Linked DNA regions of Mus musculus. The protein of the gene in region 1 purifies or fractionates together with the protein of each later gene. This does not show direct contact. Links are inferred from orthologs where the notes say so. Each region holds a gene or a part of one and is shown in the gene's direction. Other genes may lie near its edges.

Region 1 (3,652 bases):
GGCTGCTGCTTTGTAAATAAGGAAGACTTTGCCCTGCTGGGCAGCGGTCACTTACACTGAACATGGCGGCATATGTCTGTAACCCCAGCACTTGTTACGGGGTAAAGGAGACGCAGGAGGAGTTCAGGGCCAGCTGTGGCTGCCCAGTAAGTATGCGGGCAGATTGGGCTACGTTATTTGCTGTCTCAAAAAACTAAAAGATGTCAAGCATATTGATAAGGGAGGAGGAGAGAGAGGAACCCACTATTACCATGGAGGCTCATTAAAAACTTGCCGTGCGAAGCCTTTTGCATCAGGAGGGGACAGCTCTGTCTGATGCTCCGACATCTGCGGAAGTTTACTTGGCCCGTCTCCCGAGGTCTAAACTCACACCTCTAGCAGATTGAGTTCGACCACATTTTAAGCTTCTTCCTGTGGCGTAAGACTGGCGTAGCATTACCTGCATGTAGCAGGGCTAGCACGGCCCAGCCTCCCCTAAGTGTGCTCAGAGCATTTGCATAGCCTACGCTTGGTCAGAATCACCTAACACAAAGCCCACTTTATGATAAAGGTATTGAGTGGCTCCTGTAATTCATTAGATACTGTACTAAAAGTGAAACACGGGGTGACCAGAAGTGAATACTTCCTCATAAGGGGGAACCGTTAACCAAAGAGTCGGGGGCTGTGTGTGGCGGCAATGTCATTTCTCCCTTGGAAGTTACTTTAAGTAGGAAAAGATAATCTTCCCTCGTCCTTGGGGTGTCTTCCTTTTGTTATTTATTCGCTGAAATAATAGAGTTGTGTTTTTTAGGCAAATATTGCAGATTTTCAAGAGAACCAGTGGGTGACGTGTTTCCAGGAGTCTGCAGAGGCCATCCTTGGACAGAACACTATGTACCTTGGGGAACTCAAAGAGAAGGTTGGCTTTGTGTTTGTCCGCGCTGTGATAATGCTGGCCTTATGCCACTGAGCTGTTGAATGCTTGCTTTGGGTGTGGTGGATGCGCGCACTGAGTGAGGACTTACCTTTGTCTTTTCTGTATGTATCTGGTGTGAGGTAATGCGTCAGGGAATGCCATTGCACAGAAGCACAAGCCACCTTTGCCCCATCCCCATCGCTGTTTTTTGTTTTTGCATCAGAGCTGGTGTGTTTCCGGTCACTCCAGAGCTACAGGGTGTCTCCTGAAGTGTGCTTCAGCCTAGTAAACACCTTTTAGGAAAGTGGAGTCAAAGCTTGAAGTAAAAAAAGAGAAACGCAAGTGCATATCCGGGCACTTGCTGTTTGGGGTTGTCAGGAGAAGGTCATAGGAAGCCACTTTGGTGTGAAGGGAAGACTTCATTTTGCCTTGATGGTTGCTGTCTGTTGTCCCAGCACTTGGGTGGAAACAGGAGGTTCACTCAGACCTCCAGGCCAGCTAGTGTCCACAGTGAGTTCAAAGCTAGCCTGGACTACATAGCAAGACCCTGTCTCAAAAATATATACATTAGAGTAAACAGGTGAATTGGGACCCTTGGGGGGCCTCAGTGAGTGAAGCCCTTGCCAAGCAAATCTGACCACCCGAGTTCCATCCCTGGGACCCCTGCGACCCCTGGGGTGGTGGAAGGAGAAGACCTGCTCCATGCGGTTGTCCTCTGACCTCCACGAATGCGCCTGGCATGCACACCACACAGTCAAAACAAATGAACATTAACTGACTTTACCTTTACTCATTTGCCTTCTTATACACTAGGTTTATTTAATGCAGAGCAGAAATTATGCCAAACATAAGAAAGACACTAGCTAAGGTAAAAAAAAAAATAGACTAGTTAGTAAAAGCTGTGTTTTCTAGTTCGTGGGGATTGGTACCTGTGTATAGTGTCCTTCCCTCCTCCCTCCATATCGCTTGGATGCGTGTAGAGGCCACGGAGGAGGAGCTTTTGCCATTGTTTCCTGCACTTTCCTTTCTTTTTCTGCCCTCCACGCTGTTTAAATCACCCACAAGGTCTTAGCAGATAGTCCGTCCCGAGAAGTCCTTCCACACAGATAGCTGGAATTGACTTTTAAAGTATAGTTTGCCTTTTATCTGTCTTGCCCTCTGTTTTCATATCAGATTTTCAGGCTTGGGCAGCCTTTCAGGATTTTTTATGAGCTTATTATAGTTGGCTGTTCTTGGTGCTGGTGAGGACGCACAAGGCTTCCCTCAGGGAATGTGCTGCTCTGGGGGCCTGCAGCCGTGCTTCCCTGACCCCAAAGAGCAGTGGCGTCTGCTTTAAGGTTTTTTAAGATTTAACATATTTTCGTTTACATGTTGAAAATCCAAAGAATGTTTTGTTTTTTTTTTTTTCTCAAATGGCATCTACTGAAAGAAGTCTGTATGATAAAGCTGTTTCCATAACCATGTACCTGCAGGCTACTTAGCTTATATGAACTGTTAGTTTTATATACAGTTGATGTTCATACTTTGGGGGGGGGGTGTTTTTTCTTTGGTTTGGTTTGGGGCCCAAGTGTCCCTGTGGTATCACCCACACACCCCCAAATCAAAATCCAGCTTTGAAAAAGAATTACATCTCTGTGAGTTAGAGGCCAGCCTGGTCTACAGAGTGAGTTCCAGGATAGCCAGGGCTACACAGAGAAACCCTGCCTTGAAAAGCAAACAAAAAATTACCAAAAAAAAGTAACCAAATTCGATAGCATTCAAGGATTGGGAAGAAGAAGGTGTTTTGTGGCCTTGAGTATATGATAATGTGAACGCTTTTTTTGTTTTGTTTTGTTTTGAGACCGGGGTCTCACACTGTAGCCCAGACCGGCCTGTGTAGCTGAGGCTGGCCTCCGTCCCGCTGTGATCCTCTTGCCTTACCTACAGAATACTGTGATCACACGCTTGCGCCATCGAGTGTGGCTTTCCCTGGACTTTTCCAATTATTTTAGTGGGAGTTTTTGTTTTGTTTTTTTAAAGGTATTTTTTTTAAAGATTTATTTATTAATATATGTAAGTACACTGTTGCTGTCTTCAGACACTCCAGAAGAGGATCTTGTTGCGGATGGTTGTGAGCCACCATGTGGTTGCTGGGATTTGAACTTTGGACCTTTGGAAGAGCAGTCGGGTGCTCTTACCCACTGAGCCATCTCACCAGCCCCCAGTTTTTGTTTTGTTTTACTTGGCGACAAGTTTTTACTATGTAGACCCGGAACTCACAAAATATCCACCTGCTTCCCGGTGCTGGAGGTAAAGGACTTCCAGGCCCAGCTTCTGCTCCGTTTTTATTTAGTTTCAGTACAAATGTTTTACCTGCAGGGATGTGGGGCCGCTTTCCTGCCTGGTGCCTGAGGAGGCCAGGAGAGGCTGTCAGATCCTGGTTGTGAGTGACCTAGTTGGTGCCAGGAAAGGGCCACCATGTGTGTGTTAACCACTAAGCCATCTCTCCTGCCTCTCCTACCCATTTCCTGATTCATGCTGGGGCTCAGATAGCTTCCCCAACAAGTATTCCAAATTTTAGAAATGTGTTCCTAAGATTACTTAAAATTTTTTACTTGTGGTAAAAGACACATAAGCATAGCCATTGTATGGGATTTTTATAACCATTTTGGATACACACACATACATACATACACACACACACACATGCACACACATACATACACACCACATACACATACATACACACACACACACACACACACACACAATATGGCA
Region 2 (3,652 bases), on another chromosome or scaffold:
TGTAATGCGCATGTGCACCATGTAACACAGCACTGCTGTGACGTTGTATATGTGCGTTTTAGAGGAGACGTTGGTTTTACGTAGTCAAGAAGCTTTAAAGCAAGTTGTTTACCTCATGATCCTGTCTTTATTTTAAAAATGATGACTGTATTGGCTTTCTGGGCGTGTTGTTAATGTTTGTGAAGTTTGGAAAATGGTGACTGCAGACACTGATAGCCCATTGTGACAGCAGCCCAGTCACTTGGCTGTGTCAGTTTGCCTCTGGGGAGTGTGTGGCAGGACAGGAATCTTCTGTGTTTCATCAGGCCTTTTTGATTTCCCCTGCAGATGAAGAAAGAAAAGTCCAAATTGGAGCGAACACCCCAAAAAAATGATCAAGGAAAAAGAAAAATTAGTCCAGCCAAGAAGGAGTCAGAGTCTAAAAAGTGCAAGCTGACTCTCCTAAAGAACAGTCCTATGAAGGCAGTGAAGAAGGAGGCAAGCACGTGCCCAAGGGGCCTGGATGTCAAGGAGACACATGGCAACCGCAGTAGCAACAAAGAGGAATGTCTGCTCTGGGTGGATAAGTACAAGCCCGCCTCACTCAAGAACATAATCGGACAGCAGGGTGACCAGAGCTGTGCCAACAAATTACTACGTTGGCTCAGAAACTGGCACAAGAGTTCTCCTGAAGAGAAAAAACATGGTGATTTCACAACTTTAGTCATTTTCTGTGTGTCTGTCAACATATGTAGTGCTCAGTTGTATTCATGGCCAAAGGCTCATGCATGGTTCATTTGCCTGTCATCAAGTATTTATCGAGGCTTGTTGAGTGCCCAAGTGCTCTAGGCCCTGGTGGTGCTTCTGTGAACAAAGCAGGCCCTTCAGGGGCCCCCAGAGAGTGGGGAGATTATGAGCCAGCTGTTAAAATGCATGTGCCAAGTGCTTTTGTAGGGTAAGTACAGGGAGCTAGCTCTGGGGATGCTGGTGTGTAGTCAAGGAAGAGGGTGTGAGCGCTCAGCCCTGGAGCGACCTTGGAGTCCAGGTAGCAGACAGCTGGGCTAAGGGAGATGGGTGTGGTATTGGGCTGGAGGAACAACCAGTGCCAGTGTCTGAAGGCCTGTGAGAGAGAGAATGCCCAGGGCCCTTAAGGAAACTGGAAGAAGCTGAGGTAAGCACTGGCACAGTGACCTACAGCCTCATTACATTGCCATTTGCTTTTGGTCTGCACTCTCCTCTCTGCTTTGCAAAGCTCTCGGGCAGTTCATAAATGGTTCCTTCTGATCTGGAGTGTCTGAAATATGGTGCATGTTAATGCTCTGGAACTTCTCTTCCCTAGCAGCAAAGTTTGGCAAACTTGCCAGCAAAGATGATGGCTCCAGTTTCAAGGCAGCTCTGCTGTCTGGCCCTCCAGGTGTTGGCAAAACCACTACAGCTTCTCTTGTGTGTCAGGTGGGTGCCCTGTCATAGTGCAGTGATCAGCTCGTGTGTGTGTGTGTGTGTGTGTGTGCGTGTGTGTGTGTCTGTGTTAATCTACAGTGTATATTTTTCTAAAGTCAAACTTTAGAATTTTCTTTGGCTTTAGTGGTGTTTGTCACTTCTTTTTTTTTTTTTTTTTAATGCTATTATTCTGGCTGGGTGTGGTAGTGCATGCCTATAATCCCAGCATTGAGGAAGCAGGTGAATCTCGAGGTTAATTCAAGGCCAGCCTAGTCTACATAGTAAGTTCCAGGACACAAGTCTTTTTAAAAAAAATCTAAAGAAAATTAAAGAAAAAAAAAACAAACCCCACCTTAAACCTGTTATTGAATTGGCTATTATAAAAACATCCATTTTCCCTTATAGGTGGAGGATGTGTTACTAGGCGCTCAGGAGATGCCGTGGCTGCAGGTGGTACAGAGCCCTGTGCACCGTGCCCTGCAGCAGTGCCACTTCATATAGTTAGTCTGCCTCCTGTGTCCTGGCACCCTCCTTGCCTCCCCCTCTTACTGTCTAGGGCCACGGTACTGGCTGGTTTTGTGTAAACTTGACATAAGCCAGACCTTAGAAGGAAGGAGCCTCAGGTAAGGAAATACCTCTGTGAAATCCAGCTGTAAGGCGTTTTCTCAATTAGTGATCAGTGGGGGAGGGCCCAGCCCATTGTGGGTTGGGCCATCCCTGGGCTGATGGTCCTGGGTTCTATAAGAAAGGCTTAGCAGGACAGACAGCAGACCCTCTATGGCCTCTGGATCAGCTCCTGAATCCAGGATTCTGCTCTGTATGTGTCCCTGTCCTGACTTCCTTCAGTGATCCACAGTGATATGGAAGTGTAAGCCAAATAAACCCGTTCCTCCCCAACTTGCTTTTCAGTCATGGTGTTTCATCAAAGCAATAGAAACCCTAACTAAGACAGCCATTATTAAGTAAGGGTTATTTGAATACACCCACTATGATACAGGCAGGTGGTCTGATACCCTGGCATGAGCCACCATACATAGCTTACCAGCTGTGGTTTTAAAACCAAACTCCTCTGTGTATGTGTTGTTTTAAGAATCTCTAATGCTGTGGGGAATTAGATTTGTGGCCTTTTGGTATCATACTTAATTTTTTACTCATGTTTAATGTGACTTTTGGAACCTCTGTGTTCCTTAATCAGCTGCTGCCCAGGATCATTTGCACTGTTATAATAATGATTTTTAATATTTTGACTAGGAATTGGGCTACAGTTATGTGGAACTAAATGCAAGTGATACTCGGAGTAAGAACAGTTTGAAAGCAGTTGTTGCTGAATCCTTGAACAACACCAGCATCAAAGGCTTTTATACAAGTATGTGCCCTTTTTGAACTGTGGCTATAGATGTGGTTTAAGAAAAACAAGTCACTTCAGTGTTCTGTAATGAGCACTCCTGTGTGGTAAGTATCCTGAGGCATCAAGATAGGAAAGGCCTTTGGCATAACTCTTCTGGGGCATTAGTTCTGCTCTGTGATCTCAGAGGTTTTTGAGACTGGGATAGAAATGTGTGCATATACAGTTTTCATTTTGTGTGTGATGTTGGACAGTTCCAGGTGAGTCTTGTAAAGGAGAACGGGGAGAGTGAAGTGCACCGTTCACTGAGGCCGAAAGCCTGTGTGTGTGTGTGTGTGGGGGGGGGGGGGAGCTGATTGTGTACTCTGCAGTAAAAGGATGACTTGATTCAGAGAGCCTTGAAGAATGAAAGGGCCCATTTATAGCAAGAAGGTGTGATCACTGTGGAAGGTTGTGTTGTAACTAGTGGTCCCAAAAGGCTGAGTTCATGGGGAAATGAAGATGTATCAGGTAAGGATCCACATGCCTGTGGAGAGTGCCATAGAACTGCGGTACTTTTATGTTAGAAGTTAGTTTTTGAAAGAAATTGCTCAGAAGAGTCCTCCCCCCTTCTTTCTTTCTCTCCTCCTTCCCTCCTTCTCTTTCTTCCCTCTCCCTCCCTCCCTCTCCCATCCCCCCACTTTTTCTGTCTCTTGGTATATGTATGTGGGTGTGTGTGGATGTGAGACGTGTGCACCTCACCACACCCAAGATTTTTTATGTGTGTTCTAGGGTTTGAACCCAGGTTCTTATGTTTGCAAGGCAGATACTGTACTAATGGGCAGTCTTTCCATATAGCTTGCTGTACATGGCTCTTGGAAGTATTAATTAATACAACTCACTAGCAGT

Evidence for each region. Proteins that work in one complex are often made in the same cells at the same time.
Region 2: the proteins of Rpa1 (region 1) and Rfc1 purify together in Homo sapiens (affinity purification with mass spectrometry; 3 studies listed by BioGRID, with this or other methods). This does not show direct contact. The link is inferred for Mus musculus from reciprocal best matches to the Homo sapiens genes RPA1 and RFC1.

The regions. Positions count from the first base shown.
Region 1 is NC_000077.6:75,303,354-75,307,005, reverse strand, and holds part of Rpa1 (replication protein A 70 kDa DNA-binding subunit), read left to right. Parts: intron 1-790; coding exon 791-898; intron 899-3,652. UniProt on the Homo sapiens protein: As part of the heterotrimeric replication protein A complex (RPA/RP-A), binds and stabilizes single-stranded DNA intermediates that form during DNA replication or upon DNA stress.
Region 2 is NC_000071.6:65,276,490-65,280,141, reverse strand, and holds part of Rfc1 (replication factor C subunit 1), read left to right. Parts: intron 1-327; coding exon 328-685; intron 686-1,318; coding exon 1,319-1,431; intron 1,432-2,670; coding exon 2,671-2,785; intron 2,786-3,652. UniProt on the Homo sapiens protein: Subunit of the replication factor C (RFC) complex which acts during elongation of primed DNA templates by DNA polymerases delta and epsilon, and is necessary for ATP-dependent loading of proliferating cell nuclear antigen (PCNA) onto primed DNA.